Oryctolagus cuniculus: one gene and its partners. The protein of the gene in region 2 interacts with the protein of the main gene of each other region in a pairwise test. Links are inferred from orthologs where the notes say so. Each region holds a gene or a part of one and is shown on either strand. Other genes may lie near its edges.

Region 1 (3,984 bases), on a different chromosome or scaffold from region 2:
GCTGAATCTCTGAATATTACTTTTTAATAGAATCTTTCATGAATCTTGTCTATTTTTCTGCGAATATTCATTACATGCATACGTTTGTATTGTGTAAATAAACGCTATTTTATCTTTGTGTGGACTGTCTCTTCATGTTGCTTTTTTACTATCAGACTGTTCATTTTCTATTAGTATAGAAGAACTTCATCGGTAGACGAAGCATCTCTCTGGGGCTGGCATTGTGCCGTAGTACATATAGCATTGCCTGCAATGCCGGCACACCACATGGGCACGTTCATGTTCTGCCTGCTCCACTTCCAATCCAGCTCCCTGCTGATGTGCCTGGGAAGGCAGCGGAAGATGGCCCAAGCGCTCGGGCCCCCACACTCATGTGCAGGACTTGGAAGAAGCTCCAGGCTTCAGCCCGGCTCAGCCTGACTACTGTGCAGCCATTGCGGAGTGAACCAGCAGATGGAAGAACTCTCTCTCTCTCTGCCTTACAAATGAGTAAAAAAAGGAGAAGGGGGAGGGGGAGGGGGAGGAGGAGAAGAGGAGGGAGGGGAGGGGAAGGGGAAGGAGGAAGACAGACAACAAGCACTGGCGAGCTCATGAAAAATTAAAACCCTCCATCACATCTAATATGAATATAAAATGGTGCAGTCCCTTTGGTAAACAGCCACAATTCCTCAAGAGACTAAACACGGGTACTACACTGATATGGGCAGGTGGGCTGCTAGCAGAGGAACTGAGGTTTGACAGCACTGCACTGCCGCAGGCCAGCCCTCCCAACAGCACAGCAGCCTTGCCTGGTCCACGTCATAGCCCCACCTGCACCACCCAAGCCCCCTTTCTGTGCACTTCCCAAACCTGCCTTCCATGCACCAGTCCCAGCCCTCTCCCCCTTCCCTGCAGTGCAAACCCCAAGTTTCACAATGTTGCAAATTTAAGAATGGGGGGAGGTGCCATGATGCAGAGGGTTAAAGCCCTGGCCTGAAGTGCCTGCATCCCATATAGGCGCGCATCCTAGTCCCTGCTGCTCCTCTTCCAATCCAGCTCTCTGGTGTGGCCTGGGAAAGCAGTAGAAGATGGCCCAAGTCCTTGGGCCCCTGCACCCACGTGGGAGACCCAGATGAAGCTCCTGGCTTTGGATAGGCACATCTCTGGCCGTTGCAGCCATTTGGGGAGTGAACCAGCAGATGGAAGACCTCTCTCTATCTCTACCTCTCACTGTCTGTAACTCTACCACTCAAATAAATAAAATATTAAAAGAAATTAGCATCAGCTATAACAATCCAAAATGGCTGCAGACAGTGACTCTCCCATGACATTTATATCATTAAATTATTATAATAATAAAATTACTAGGGTCAGTTTTTTTACTCTCACCGTGCCCCTAACACCATGACACTTCTGAGATTTCCAAAACAGGGCACAGAAATGGGCAGTACTCAGGTGCTGCACCAAACTCTGCTCCCTTTGAATGATCAATCAAGCCGCAGCCAGACACCACCCCCTATGCCTCGCAATACCATAACAAGATAGCCCGCACCTTTCCCTTTTCTTTAAGTAAATCCTGCTTTCCTGTACACCTCGTTTCCTCCTCGACTTCTTTCATGCATGGAGACAAGAACCCGGACCGAGCCTAGCCAAGGACCACCCCCATGACAATATAACCCAGCAATTCTACTCCTAGGTAAGCACACAGGTTAATGAAACCATGTTCACACAAAAACTTGGCACATAAACATTCACAGCAGAAATATTGCCTGCCCAAATTAGAAACAATGCAACTGTTCATCAACAGCTGAATGGATAAAATGTGAGGCATCACCTAATGGAGTGTGATTAGGCGGTCAGTGATGAAGCAGACAGGCTGCGGCATGCATGAACCCCCAAACACTATGGCTACCTGTTACACGCCAGTCTCAAGGGGTCGCATTCTGCAAGATGCACAGGAAACACCTCTACAGAGACAGAAAATACACTGCTGGTTGCTGGGGGCGTGGGGGGTGGGTCTCCATTTCCAGGGCCAACTGTCAACTCCAGTGGAGATCATGGGAACTGCTTGGGGTGGGGGGCGTTGAGGGCTTGAAAGGTGTGCGGTTTCTTTTAGGGGCAACAACACAACGTTTCTAAAACCGATTGCTTTCGGCTGCACAATTCTGTGACTATTCTAAAGACCAGTGCCATATACACTTCCAGTGGGTAAATCTCACGGAATGTGAATTATATCTCAATAAAGCTCTCGGGAAAAGGTTCCCTTACCTGGCATCTTCTGCAGCAATGAATGATGACTAGGCAGCGCCTTAACTAGAAAATACAGGGGCCGCCAACAGGTGTCCCAAGCAGTCAGAGGACTCAAACAGCAACATCCGACCCGAAGGCTGGGACAGAGTTTGGGGATCCGGCTTGGGGGGCGGTGGCTATTTAAGCGCAAGGCGGCCCTGGCCTCACTGAAGGAAATTTGCCCAGTTCCTGGGGGGAGCGGGTGGTCGCGCGGCCAAGCCTCCGTCAAGGCTCCATTTCGCAGGGGCCACAGGAACAAACGCTACAGCTCAACAGGCTAAGCAGCCGCGCAGTCCTCACACCTAAAGGTTCCACACCACACGAAAACAGCTCCGAGACCACCGCGGCCGCCCACAGGCCAGGAAACCCAGCCGGCGCGCGACCAACTCACCCGGGCCCCCGGCCTGCGTCTCCATGGCTAACGTCAACGCCGGCCGGCGCCGCTCGCGGCGCGGCGTCACGCACGCGCCCGCCTAGGGCCCCGCCCACACCTGCGCGCGCTCCCGACGGGGCTTCACGCCGGCCGGGCGAGGCAGGGCAGGCGGGGTGCAGCGCCCCACCCGGCCCCGCTCCGCTGTAAGAGTCTCGCGGGTCCTTCGACCGCGTCTTGGGTGTGGGCGCGAAACCACGGCCGGACCTTTCACCCGGACACGCCCCTACGCCAGAGCGTCGTTGCCATGGTGATGTGACGTAGTGACGTAGTTCCGTAAGGCGCGCCGCCGCCATTTTGCCAGCCCCGGAAGTGTGGGTGCCCCGCGACCCGCTATCTTGATGTCTGCGCTCTGGCGGCCACGGCCTGTCACCGCGTTTCAAATGAATGCTGCATTCGTCCTATTCGGTTGGAAGATGTGCGACTGTGTACAACCTCGCTTTATTGCGCTCCACTTTGTGTCGCTTCACAAATAATTGTATTTTATTAGAAATGGAAAGTTGTGGCAACACAGCGTCGAGCGAGCCTGTCGGCACCATTTTCCCAACAACTTGTGCTGTGTTGTCTGTGTCGCGGTTTGCTAACTCGCGATATTTCAGCTTTTTTCCTTATTGTCCTTTTTTATGGCGAGGTGTGATTAGTGGGCCCTTCTGTGGTGATTGGGGATGGCACGGATTGCGCCTGGGTCCGTCCGTGAACTTAATCTGTACATGCGTGTGTTCTGACTGTCCCTGACACACAGCGGTGTGGGAAGTAGGTCTGTTAATAACTAGCTTCGAAAAAGTGTTTTAAATCAAAAGCTGGAAATGGTTACTTAGTGAGAAAGGCATGTCAAAAGCTGAGATACATGGACAACTAGGTATCTTGTGCCAGTTAGCCAAGTTTGACTGCGAAGGAAAAATTCGAGGGAAATGCAAAGTTCTACTCCAGGGAACACACGAATAATAAGAAAGCAAAACATTATTGCTGATACTGAAAAAGCTGTAGTGGTTTGGATAAAAGATCAAGCCAACCACAACCTCCCCTTATGCCAAGGCCTAATCTGGAGCAAGGCCCTCTCTTCAATTCTATGAAGGCTGAAAGGGGTGAGAAAACCGCAGAGGAAAAGTTTGAGGTTGGCTCAGGAGGTTTAGAGAAGCAGTTTCCGGCACACCAAGGTGCGAGGTGCAGCTTGATGAAGGTGGCTTCATTAAACCTCAGATTTTCAATGCAGCATTGGAGCCTGGAGACGTGACGGAATCGCTGCATTCTCATGATAAAACTTTAACAGATGATTCACTTCTTAG
Region 2 (4,015 bases):
GCTGCTATGGCCAGTGCGCTGTGCAGATCCGAAGCCAGGAGCCAGGTGTTCCTCCTGGTCTCCCAAGTGGGCGCAGGGCCCAAGCACTTGGGCCATCCTCCACTGCCTTTCCGGGCCACAGCAGGGAGCTGGCCTGGAAGAGGAGCAACCGGGACAGAACTGGCGCCCCAACCAGGACTAGAACCTGGGGTACCAGCACCGCAGGCGGAGGATTAGCCTAGTGAGCCACTGCGCTGGCCCAGTTGGTGATATTTTTTAAGCTCTTTTTTTATTTTTATTAGACAGGTAGAGTTATAGACAGTGAGAGAGAGAAAGGTCTTCCTTCCATTGGTTCACTCCCCAAATGGCCCCTACAGCCGGCGCACTGCGCCGATCCGAAGCCAGGAGCCAGGTGCTTCCTCCTGATCTCCCATGCAGGTGCAGGAGCCCAAACACTTGGGCCATCCTCCACTGCCTTCCCAGGCCACAGCAGAAAGCTGGAATGGAAGAGGAGCAACCAGGACTAGCCCTTTCTCTCTGTCTCTCTCCTCTCACTGTCTAACTCTGTCAAATAAATAAAATTTTTAAATAAAGAAAAAAAAAAAACCACGCCTTGCCCTTCCTTATCGCACTGTTCTGTAGCATGAATTACATGGGGGATTCTCCTTGGCTCTTTTGAATGAGCCAAAGAGAAGGTGTTAGTAGGCGAGTCAATGGTGTAGATGCTTGGAACTGAACTAGACGCTTGCAACGGACTGTGGCCTGCCCAGTGCTGCCAGAAGAGTCTAAAAGCTGGAATTCTTTTTATTTCTAAACAACCGCTTTCATGCTTATCCTTCGATGTCACCTTCGGCACTTGCCCTGCACTTGGAATAAAATGAGTCTACCTGATGCTAACTCCCGCACTCACATTTTGGTCACTTCCCAAGACTAGGCATCTGGGAAGAACCTTGCTAAGGTCCTATGCTGAAGGCCGCTCAGCCTTTCCTGCCTGCATCTCCCTTGTCCTGCTTCTGTCCAGAAGGGATCCAGAGCGAAGAACAAACTTTCTGGGGTCCCGAGGTACTAGGCACCCACCAAGAGCCTGCCCGCTGCGCCTGTCCCAGCCAAGGGACTGGATGTATGCTTGCCCTGTGTGTGACCCAGTTGCAAAGGAAACCACTGCGCTCTGTAATGAGAAGGAAGGAGCCTCCCTCTTCTCCCTCAGCCCCCTCCCCACTTCCCGTCCAGAGCGCTACTTCCTCCCAATCCGCCTCCCTCGGCCCGGGGACCGGAGCAGGAGGCAGCCAAGGCGGAACTGGAGGAGCCAGCGGCCCGGCACATGTTGCGCCGGGGTCCCCAGGGCGCCCCGGCCGGCGGAGGCGGCGCGGACCGCGGCGCAGGTAGGGGCTCCGCCACAGCAGCCAGAATGGGTCCCGGGAGGTCTGGGCCGGGCCGGAAGTGCGCCTTTCCCCCTCAGTAGGTCTGGGCGAGCCTCTCTTCACAGCTCCAGTTCGGTGCGCCCCTTCAGAGGTGCGGGAAACCGCAACAGGGCGCGTAAGGTGCAGGTTTGGGAGGAGAGGGTCTGGGGCTGTCAGCTCTGTGCCCAGCCCTCCAAGTCCCTCCTGGCCCGCAGGACTCTGCAGAGCAGTCCGCGGCGGACCCATGCTCGCGTCTGACGGGTCCTGGGCGGCGGCGGAAGGCCCCAGGGGCGTGCTTGGAGTTGGGATGGGTCCTGTCCATCCGTACCCCCGCAGGACAGAGCGGCCCTGCACGCCCTCGCCCGGGACCCGCGGGACCTGGAAGGTGGAAGTTGAGAGTGGGGTAAGGAGCTGGTGAGGGCGCGTCCTCCACAGGCCACGGTGCAGTTTCATTGCAGGCTTGGAACTTGGCGACGGCAAAGCCCTCGCCGGAGCTTCGGCGGGACACCACTGCCCAGACCCTGATTACACCGTCAGCTCGCAGTGGTGACACTGAAGTCATGGCGTAGATGTTTGCTTTCCAAGCATGACAGGACTTGTATCTCTCGCTCTTAAAATACATGCAGAAGTATTGGAAACTTTCTGGAGACCGTGAGATTTGGAGTCAGGGTGTGCATTATGTCCTGGGTGCATCCCTTCCCTCAGAAGTCACAGTGGCCACTAATGACGGGGTCTCCCTGCCTCCTTGGGTCTATGGATGTGAAAGCACTTTGCTAAAAGTGTCTCACTGGTTACACAAACGTGAGCTGGGAAACACCAGGGCCATGAAAGCTGGGAGTTGGAGACAGTGTCTTTGCTTCTCAATCCTGGACTTAGCTGTGCCTCAGTTTCCCCACTTTTAAAATGGGGACCATGACAGTACCCCTTTCCCCAGAGGGTTGCTGCGCCGTTTCGGTGTGGTGGTGGATGTGAAGCCCCTAGCTCTACTCCAGAGACAGACTGCAGGATGAAAAGACTGTCGTTGCTAATTTTCCTAAGTAAAACTGAATACTGTGGCGTTTAAAGGAATACTGGTTTGATTTAAGTACGAAGAGTAGGGTGCTGTAAAAGACCCTGGGTTTTCTTGTGCTCAGGCATGACGCATGGAGTCCCTTGAGGTTCAGTTCAGACTCTGCCACAGAACAAGAACCCAGCCCTGGACAGTAGACCTACTTTGTGGGCTTTGTGACCTTGGACCTCAGTTTTTCTTAACTACTTACAAAAAAAAAAAAAAAAAAAACAAAAAAAAACCAGAAAAGGGGAATAGTAATTCCTGCCATTTAGACCAATAGTGCTACCTGAGGTTCAAATAAAGTAAAACATGTAAGACATCGTGTGGAACAGGAGTCACTGTGCACATACAGGACATCATATTACTAGCAGGAATCCTAACATCTGCAACTTTTTACAACTTCCAGATGTGCTGGGAGCTCTACTGTGCATTCTTTTGATGAACTCTTCCCCAAGCCTTTATGGGGCTGGTAATCAGTCCTTGTTTTCCTATGGCAAAGCTGAGGTTCAGGGTCACCTGCTTTTTTCCCAAGCTCACATAGCTGTTCAGTGCAGAGCCAGCAGTGCACCCCTGTGTGGACACCTCTCCCCATTGTCTTTTCAACCTCTGACTGAAAAGATGTTAGTGAATGGAGCCACGGTTCAGAGCAGACCTGTATTAGATCATAGCTAATGATGCACCCTGCATATCATAAAATGGATGGGTAAATTATTAGCCCTGCATAGGTGACTGAAGAAATCGGAGATTTCTTTCATCCCTATTTCTGTAAAATCCGATGCAGGTTATTCTCTTGAAACAATGAAAAACAAAGGCATGGAAAGCTTGAAAGAACGAATGATGATCTTGCAGATCTCAGAAGAAGTGGAATCTGGATTAATACTTTAACACCTAAATGTGTCAGGACCCTAGGATGGCACACGAGGTGACGCTGGGATGAAGGCTGTTGGTGTCAAGGTCACCTCACAGGGCTGCATCCCAGGATGTTTTTGTGGAGACCTCATGTTCAGCCATGATGCTGGCAGAGGGAAATTGAACTTTTTTTTTTTTTTTGACAGGCAGAGTGGACAGTGAGAGAGAGAGACAGAGAGAAAGGCCTTCCTTTGCCGTTGGTTCACCCTCCAATGGCCGCTGCAGCCGGCGCGCTACGGTCAGCGCATTGCGCTGATCCGAAGCCAGGAGCCAGGTGCTTTTTCCTGGTCTCCCATGGGGTGCAGGGCCCAAGCACTTGGGCCATCCTCCACTGCACTCCCTGTCCACAGCAGAGAGCTGGCCTGGAAGAGGGGCAACCGGGACAGAATCCGGCGCCCCAACTGGGACTAGAACCCGGTGTGCTGGCACCGCTAGGTGGAGGATTAGCCTAGTGAGCCGCGGCGCCGGCGGGAAATTGAACTTTAAACAGAAGAGACTGAAGATCAGATCTTTGTGCTGCATTAACAACTCTTAGTTCACTTGTTTCCTAAATTAAGTTTATTACTTTTTTTTGTTTTTCTAAAAGCAACATGTATTCATTACAAGAAGTAGAGAAAACTCCAAACAAGTAAAAACGAACAAACAAACAAACAGTAAAACCACTGAAATCTCACTA
Region 3 (4,284 bases), on a different chromosome or scaffold from region 2:
GCCCGCCCCGCGGCACGCACCATGATGTTGCCCATGGGCCCGCCCTCACCCCCGGCCCGCCCCGCGGCACGCACCATGATGTTGCCCATGGGCCCGCCCTCACCCCCGGCCCGCCCCCAGCACGCACCATGATGTTGCCCATGGGCCCGCCCTCGCCCCCAGCACGCACCATGATGTTGCCCATGGGCCCGCCCTCGCCCCGCCCCCGCCCCCGGCACGCACCATGATGTTGCCCATGGGCCCGCCCCCGCCCTCGGCCCGCCCCGCGGCACGCACCATGATGTTGCCCATGGGCCCGCCCTCGCCCTCGCCCCCGCCCCCGGCACGCACCATGATGTTGCCCATGGGCCCGCCCCCGCCCTCGGCCCGCCCCGCGGCACGCACCATGATGTTGCCCATGGGCCCGCCCTCGCCCCCGCCCCCGCCCCCAGCACGCACCATGATGTTGCCCATGGGCCCGCCCTCACCCCCGGCCCGCCCCGCGGCACGCACCATGATGTTGCCCATGGGCCCGCCCTCGCCCTCGCCGTAGGTGGAGATGATGACGTTCACGTTCTCCACGATGCGCTGGAAGGTCTGGTACAGCTCCTCCGGCTCCAGCTGCAGCTCCAGCAGCGCGCGGTCCATCTTGTTCATCATCAGCACCGGCTTGATGCGCTCGGCGATGGCCTGGCGCAGCACCGTCTCCGTCTGCACGCACACGCCTGCGGGGCCGCGGCTCAGTCCCGGCTCAGTCCCGGCCCGGCCTCACCCTGCCTGCCTCACCCCGCCCTGCCCCGCCCCGCCCGGCGCCCCGCTCACCGGACACGCAGTCCACCACCACCAGGGCGCCGTCGGTGACGCGCAGGGCGGCCGTGACCTCGGAGGAGAAGTCCACGTGGCCGGGGGAGTCGATGAGGTTGATGAGGAAGCCCGAGCCGTCCTTGCTCTGCTTGATGAAGTTCAGGTCGTTCTCCGAGAGCTCGTAGAACAGCGAGATGGCCCTGGGGGGGGGGGGCCGGGTCACGGTGCAGGCGGACACCCCCAGCCGGGCAAGGCCGGCCCCACCCGCACCTGCCGCACCTGCCCCTCTGCTCCCCGGGGGCCGGCCTGCACCACACGGGAGCCGGGGACGCTGGGGCCAGCTGACCCTCTCGGGGTCGCCCTGGGCCCTGACCACAGGGACAGCACAGGAGCTGATGCCCACGCGGGGGCCTGTGTCCCTGGGGGACACAACCGTCCATGCTGCAGTGGGACAGCCCGCCCCCAGGGGTCCTAGACCCCACCCCCTCTCTGCCCAGCACTCCTGCCCTTGCCCAGGCCACCTGTGGCCAGCAGCGCCCTGCCCGGGGCCAGAGGCCACTGGGGGGGGTTGATGACGCAGGCACGGCCCCGCCCCCGAGCAATGCCGCCCCGCCCCCGGCTGCAGACCAAACAGTGATGAGGCCCCGCCCCCGGCCGCGTGCCCCCAAGACCCCGACCCCTGACAGTGATGCAAGCCCCCCTCCACCGCGCACCCCGCCCCCGGCTGTGCCCCCACTGTGGACCTGACAGCCTGTTAACCCCTCAGGGCCCGGCGCGGTTGGCGGGTTGGGGGGGTGCACCGGGTCATGGCCTGGGGGCGGCGGGCGGCCCCCACGCGGGCGCAGGCCTTCCGTGCAAAAGCCCCCGGCTGCGCGCCCCCCAGTGGCCCTGATAGTGATGCACCCCGCGCCCGGACGTGCGCCCCCAGGACCCTGACCCCTGACAGCAATGCAACCCCCCCACCGCCCTGACAGCGATGCGCCCCGCCCCCGGCCCCGGCCGCGCGCGCTCACGTGGACTTGATGGTGATGCACCGCTCCTGCTCGTCCTTGCGCGTGTCAGTGAAGCGCGTCTCCCCCGCGCGGGCCGAGGCGATGATGCCGGCCTTGCACACCAGGGAGTCGGTCAGCGTGGACTTGCCGTGGTCCACGTGCGCGATGACCGACATGTTGCGGATGTTGGCCTTCTTGTCCATGATGGCCCGGATCTGGTCTACGGTGAAGTTCACCTGCGCGCGGGGAGGGGGCGATGCCAGGGGTCCAGGAAGCTGCCGGGCGGGGGTCGGCGGCCGCGGGGGCCCCGCCGCGAGCCCCGCCCACCGCCCCCAGCCGGCTGCCGGGCTGTCACTCACGACAGCAGCCGGGGAGGGCGACCCCCGCGCGTGACAGCAGGTGCAGCCGCCCCCGCCCCCCGGGGCCACCCGACCCCGCTGCCCACTCGGTCCAACAGGGCAGCTTCCGGGTCGGCAGGTGCACGGCGACACCTCGCGGCTGCCACGCGGGCGAAGGTCAAGGGCCGGGCCACGGTGGCACCGGGCGTCCGCGGGAGGGCAGCCCGCCCGCGCCCCCCGCAGCCCCGCCGCTTACGTAAGGCGCCCGCCGCCCCGGGCCCGCGCGCCCGCCGCATCAGCACGCCCGGGCCGCGTCCCCGCCGGGCGCCCCCGCGAGCCCCCAGCGGCTGCCCCGCAGCCGCGCGGCGCGCAGTCATGGCGCCGGCCGCTTCCCCCGGCCCCGAGCCCGCCGGCCCCGCCGCCGCCGCCGCCATGTCTGCGCTCCCGCCCCGTCGGCGGCCGGCGCGGCAGCGGCGGGCGCGCGGGGCCCCCGCAGCCGCCCCCAGGCGCCGGGCGGCCCGCAGCGCTCACCATGGTGGCGGATGGCGTTGGATTCTCCCGAGCAGACCCGAGCGAGGCAGGTCGCGCCGAGGATGGCGGCGACGGCGGCGGAAGAGAACGCTGACGTCAACACCCAGCCCTTTATAGGCCGACGCCGGTTGGGTGGGTCACATGACCGCGAGGCGGGGGCGGGGCGAAGGCGCTGGACGCGCAGGCGCACAGGCGCCCGCCGCCTGTTAACCCCTCAGGGCCCGGCGCGGTTGGCGGGTGGGGGGGTGCACCGGGTCATGGCCTGGGGGCGGCGGGCGGCCCCCACGCGGGCGCAGGCCTTCCGTGCAAAAGGTGCAGGTGCACCGGGGGAGGAGCGCGCAGCAGGCTGGGACAGACAAAGCGCCCGTGTTAGCTTGCACGGTGCGGAACATTTTTGTTAAGACCCTGTGAGCAGGGTCCCTAAAGTGTCACTTTCCTGATTTGGGAATTACGTAAGGGGCTCGCGCAGGGGGGAGTGGGTGCCTGCGACGCCCGGTTGCTGCTCCTGCAGCTGCTCGCGTGTCGCGGCCCCAGGGACTTATCTTAAAAAAGAAAAAAAAAATGTTGTGTTTTGCAAAGATGCATCGACTCTGCTGCCCCGAAAAAACGCAGCGAACGTCTCCCAGCAGGGGTCGTGGGAAAATGAGCCTTCTTAAAAAAAAAAAAAAAAAAAAAAAACACGTGCGTGGATCCCCGCGCCCCTGCGATGCCCACTTCCCGGGTGCGGGGCGCCCAGCGGCCGTCGCCCAGTCCCCGGAGCCCGGCCTGCGCCGTGCGGGCCCCGCGGCCGGCGGCTCCCCACGCACGCCCCGTGCGTTCCGCCTGCTCTCCAGCGGGCGGCGCGCGTGGACCGCGGCGCGCGCGTGTCCCGAGGTGACCCGGCTGGAGCCGCAGCGGCCTCCGGGGGTGCCCGCCGCGGCTTTAGTGCTATTTACGTTCTGCATCCGAGGGCAGCGCCCCCCCTGGGGACCCTCCCCTCGCCGTCCGTGGGCGACAGGCTGGGGCAGGGGCCGGGGGCGTCCGTGGGAAGCAATGCGGGTCGGCCCCGCAAAGACGCGCGCAGCCCAGGTCGTCTCCGAGCAGGGGCCGGCGCCGCCCTGCGGTCGCCCCCGCACCCCCCGCCCCGAGCGGACGCGGTGCGGGGCCGTCGAACCCCACGACCCTCTGCCCTCGCCCCCAGCCCCACGAGCGGAGGAAGCCGCAGCCAGAGCCGGGGTCTGCAGCAGCACGCACGGGCCGGGCGTGCAGGGCGGGTACGCGGGGGCGGCGGGCCGGGGGAGGGAGGAAAAAAAAAAAAAAAAAACAACCAAAAACCCAAAACTCGGCTCTGCAGGGCGGGCCCAGTGCGCGTGCGCGGAGGCCGCAGCAGCGACCCCTGCCGACCCGAGGCCGCCACTGCGCGCCCTTGGAGGCTGCGGTTTTCCTGGGGAGCAGCCCGGGGCTCCTCGTAATTCGTTAAAACACACTCGTTCTAAGAATTTGCGACGCGGACATCTCGAGCAGCCGGTTCACGCCGCCCGGGACAGCCGAGGCTGGGCCGGGTTAATTAATGGATCACGAAGCCCGCCTTGCCGCTGTAACCTCCCAGGTGCCCCTTACAGTCGGTGGACGCCCCCACGCCCCCCCGCCTCCGGAGTTCA
Region 4 (3,757 bases), on a different chromosome or scaffold from region 2:
CAATGGGTCCCGGTCCCAGACTGTGGCTGTCCCTAACGGCTGGCCCAGAACAGCGGGGTCTGGCCCCCCAGCTCAGGGCCAGTGCTGGGGCATAGCAGGTGAAGCAGCCTGCAGTGCCAGAACCCCATGTGGGTGCCAGTTCGAATCCCAGCTGCTGCAGCTCTCTGCTGTGGTGAGTGCTTGGGCCCCTGCATCTGTCAGCTCCAGGCTTCTGCTGCAGCCCAGCCCTGGCTGCCGTGGCCATTGGGTGTGTGAGCCAGCAGATGGAGGACCGTCTCCAACTCTGCCTTCGAATAGACAGCTCTCCCATGATCTGTGTGTGTGCAGGCTGGAGCCAGTGACCACCCCCACACACACACACAGGAACACCGAACAAGGAAGTTGCAGCCACTCATGGAGTGAGTGCCCGCCCCAGACCAGATCCCACCATCCCGCGTGGGACTCTTGTTGCCCGCCCCACCACGCCCAGAGGGTGTGAGCCACAGGACAACTCCCAGGAATGCTTTCACTACAAAATAATTTATTAACAGCGGAGCCTCCTGTGCGTGCGCCCTAGGCGGGGACCCTCCTCCTGCCGCGGGCCGCCCGCACCTCCTCCAGCAGGTCCTTGAGGTACTGGATCTCCTTGGCCAGGCCGTCGGCCCTCTCCCGCAGGGCCGCGTTGCGCTCCTCCAGCCCCCGGCACTCGCCCGCCAGCGCCTCCTGCTCCGCCCGCTTCTTCTGCCGGTAGCGCGTGGCGGCCGTCTTGTTCTGCTCCATCTTCTTGAGCTTCTTCTCCAGCTTCTCGCCCTTCACGCGCGCCGCCGCGGCCGCCGCAGGCTCGTAGGGCTTGGGGCGGGCCGGGGCGGGGGGGCCCCTGTGCGGGGAGCCCCTGGGGGTGGGGGCGGAGGGGCTGCGCTGCGGGGAGCCCGGGCAGGACTCGGGGCTCATGCAGACGCCGCTGTCGTTGTCGGAGGGGCTGTCCTCCTCCTTGACGCCCTGCGGGACCACGGGGCCCAGGCCGGGCGACTCGGGCTTCCGGTCCCCGTCCGCGATGTCCACCTCGCTGCCCAGCTCCAAGCTGAACGACTCATCCGGGGAGGCGGCCGCGACCCCCAGCGACAGGGGCAGGGGCTGCAGGAAGGTGCAGGGGGCGACCTGCGGCAGGCTCGCGGGGAGGGGGCCGAGCGGGCTCCCTGCCTGGGGCGGCTCCTTGAGCGCGTCCAGGGCCAGGGGGGCGAAGAGGTCGCACGAGTCGTCCAGCGTGGCCAGCAGCTCGTCGGGCACGGCCTCCAGGTCGTCCAAGCTCAGCAGGGCGTCGAAGTCGAACTCCTTGAGGTCCACTTTCTCCAACATCCAGTCCGTCCCGGAGAAGGCGTCCTCTGCGGGGGCGCGAGCGAGGGCGCGTGAGGCCGGCGCCCCCCCCCCGACACGGGCGCCCCCTCCCACCCCCACCCCCCGCGGCGCTCACCCTTGCCGTCGGCGGGGGCGCCCAGCAGCCCGTCCGCCGCCAGCCATTCCGAGGAGCCCGCCGCAGCCTTGTCGCCGGGGGGCCCGGGAGGCTTCCAGGGCGTGGCCACCTCCAGGTAGTCGTCCAGGAGCCCCAGGCCCTCCTCAGCCCCCAAAGCCGCCTGGTCGAAGGGGGACGCCAAGTCCCCCGCCAACCCCGCGCTGTGCAGGAAGCTCATGTCGGCCGTGTCGCGGGGCTGCGCTGGAACCGGGGCAGGGGCTCAGCTCGAAGGTGTCTCTGTCCGTGACAGCAACGCTGCTGCTGGGTGCCGTGAGGAGCCTGCGGGCGAGCGGCAGGGGCGCCATCAGGGCGGGGGCCGGCCGGGCGGCAGGTGCACAGCGGCCATGGCCGCCCCCGCCGGGGCCGGCGCCCGGCCCGCCCGCCCGGCCCCGCCCCGTGACTCACCCCGCGCCGCCTCCCGCCGCCATCTTGGCCGCCGCCACGTTTCGCGGGGCGGCCACCGCGACCCCCGCCGGCGCAGAGCGGGGGCCGGGGCTCCGAGGACAGCGCGCCCCCACCTCCCCGGGGACGCGGGCGCCGGGCCGCGCTCTCCCGACCCCGCCCAAGGACACGCAAGCAGGAACCACGCGTCCCCGGCGCTCGTAAAACCGCTTCCGCCTCGGCGACGCGGCCCCGACCCCCGGCCGCAGGCCGCGCCCAAGCCCAGGCCCAGGCCCAGGGCCCGCAGACGCCGGGCCCCGGCCCCCTCGCCCGGCCCGGTACTCACGCCATGGCTTAAGCCGCTGGGGGTTGCCGCTGCAGAGCCTGGTGCTGCTGCCGCCGCTGCAAAGGCCAACGCTGCCGCAGGCACTGCTGCCTCTAATACGCCATGGTGGCCGCGGCCCTGCGGGACGGGAGGAGGAAGGGCACGGCTCGCAAGAGATCTACATCGACGGGCGGGCGCAGCGGTAATGGCGGCGGCGCGCGGCCCGCCGGGCTTTTATAGACTTGGTCGCCTCCGAGCCGCATCACAGGACGCATCCTTCCGCCGCGGCCATGTGACCCGCGCCTCCTGCCCACTCCCCGGCGTCCCCACCACTTTCCTCCCCCGAGCTTTTATGTCCGAGGCGTAGCCATGTACAGAAAAGTAGTTTACTTTCAAGATCTCACGTCGGGAAAAAGGCGCACTACTTTACAAGGCGTCCAAGATCAAAGAGTCTCGTCCTTTCCCCCTCGGATGCCCGGATGCGCGGAGGGATCTCTCTCAGGGGCGGGGCGTGAAGAGCCTTTCATTCCAAGGAGGCTTTTTATTGTGAAGGCCGAGGCCGCCCGGCTATCGCGCGAGACGCTGGCGGGGAGCGCGCGTCGAGATGATTGGCTCAGGCCTGAGGAGTCATATATACCTTGAGCTCCTATTGGCTCAGGGCCCGAGGGGGGCGGGCCACTCGGCGAAGGGGCCCGGGTCTGCGCGGGAAAGGGCGGGAGCGGCCTGGCGTGCAGCCGTGCCTTTGGTTGTAGCCTCGGCGGCCGCAGCGGTAGAAATCAGCGCCCAGCGGCCTCCGAGCGAGCCCGCCGCGAGCGGGCCCGGGCCTCGGGGCCGGGGAGCCTGCCGCCGTCCGGGGCCGGCTCTGCGTCCTCCCGCTGACCTCCGCGAGCCGCTGGCCAGCCTGCGTGTCCGCGGCGCCCTTTCTGCTGCAGGGCGTCGCTGCGGGGACGCCTCTGGCCTCTGCAGGCTCAGCCCCGCTGCGACCCCGGGTGGTTCCCACGAGCTCCGGACAAGGCCCGGTGGCCCTGCGGGGGACAGGAGTTCCCGGGGAGCCGGGCCCCGGCCCGCAGAGCTCCACTCCCGCGTCCCTTCCGCGAGCGCTGCTGGCTGGACAGACAACCTGCCCTGGGGCCAGGGCCACCCTTCCCAGGGTGCACGGGCAGCCCCGGCGCCCCCGTCTGTTGGCGGACACTGGCCGTGCTGGGGCCCGGCCCGCGCGCGGGACGCGCTCCCGCCACGCTAACTCGGGGTCCCCACTCCCGGCTACCCCTGTGGGGTCACTCTGCTTCCTCAGGGGGCTCCTCCCGGAACTGACCGGCGGCCGAGGCCTAGGGCGCGGCACTCTGCCCGGGGGTCAGGAGGAAGGCGGTGGGGGTGGGACTCCCGCGCCGCCACCGCGACCCCGCATCCATCCCGGGAGTCCCGCCCGCTCCCTGCTGATGCGCCCGGGAGAGCCGTGCTTGCGCCCCTGCGCCCACGTGGGCGACCCGGCGGAGTTCCAGCTCTTGGCCATCTGGGGAACGAACCAGATGGAAGAACTCCTAATTTTTGCCTTTCAAGTA

What was found.
Region 1: the proteins of DISC1 (region 2) and PCNX4 interact in a two-hybrid assay, tested with the Homo sapiens proteins (2 studies listed by BioGRID and IntAct). The link is inferred for Oryctolagus cuniculus from reciprocal best matches to the Homo sapiens genes DISC1 and PCNX4.
Region 3: the proteins of DISC1 (region 2) and EEF2 interact in a two-hybrid assay, tested with the Homo sapiens proteins (2 studies listed by BioGRID and IntAct). The link is inferred for Oryctolagus cuniculus from reciprocal best matches to the Homo sapiens genes DISC1 and EEF2.
Region 4: the proteins of DISC1 (region 2) and ATF4 interact in binary tests that used the Homo sapiens proteins (3 or more experiments, as listed by UniProt). The link is inferred for Oryctolagus cuniculus from reciprocal best matches to the Homo sapiens genes DISC1 and ATF4.

The regions. Positions count from the first base shown.
Region 1 is NC_091451.1:10,443,801-10,447,784, forward strand, and holds the start of PCNX4 (pecanex-like protein 4), read right to left. Parts: upstream 2,801-3,984; 5' UTR 2,660-2,800; exon of another isoform or gene 2,248-2,659; intron 1,948-2,247; exon of another isoform or gene 1,892-1,947; intron 1-1,891.
Region 2 is NC_091444.1:51,180,019-51,184,033, forward strand, and holds the start of DISC1 (disrupted in schizophrenia 1 protein), read left to right. Parts: upstream 1-1,215; 5' UTR 1,216-1,300; coding exon 1,301-1,361; intron 1,362-4,015. UniProt on the Homo sapiens protein: Involved in the regulation of multiple aspects of embryonic and adult neurogenesis. Required for neural progenitor proliferation in the ventrical/subventrical zone during embryonic brain development and in the adult dentate gyrus of the hippocampus.
Region 3 is NC_091447.1:59,303,740-59,308,023, reverse strand, and holds the start of EEF2 (elongation factor 2), read right to left. Parts: upstream 2,801-4,284; 5' UTR 2,648-2,800; coding exon 2,645-2,647; intron 2,012-2,644; coding exon 1,797-2,011; intron 984-1,796; coding exon 802-983; intron 705-801; coding exon 493-704; intron 1-492. UniProt on the Homo sapiens protein: Catalyzes the GTP-dependent ribosomal translocation step during translation elongation.
Region 4 is NC_091442.1:115,754,879-115,758,635, reverse strand, and holds ATF4 (cyclic AMP-dependent transcription factor ATF-4), read right to left. Parts: upstream 2,421-3,757; 5' UTR 2,217-2,420; intron 1,769-2,216; 5' UTR 1,668-1,768; coding exon 1,451-1,667; intron 1,362-1,450; coding exon 553-1,361; 3' UTR 501-552; downstream 1-500. UniProt on the Homo sapiens protein: Transcription factor that binds the cAMP response element (CRE) (consensus: 5'-GTGACGT[AC][AG]-3') and displays two biological functions, as regulator of metabolic and redox processes under normal cellular conditions, and as master transcription factor during integrated stress response (ISR).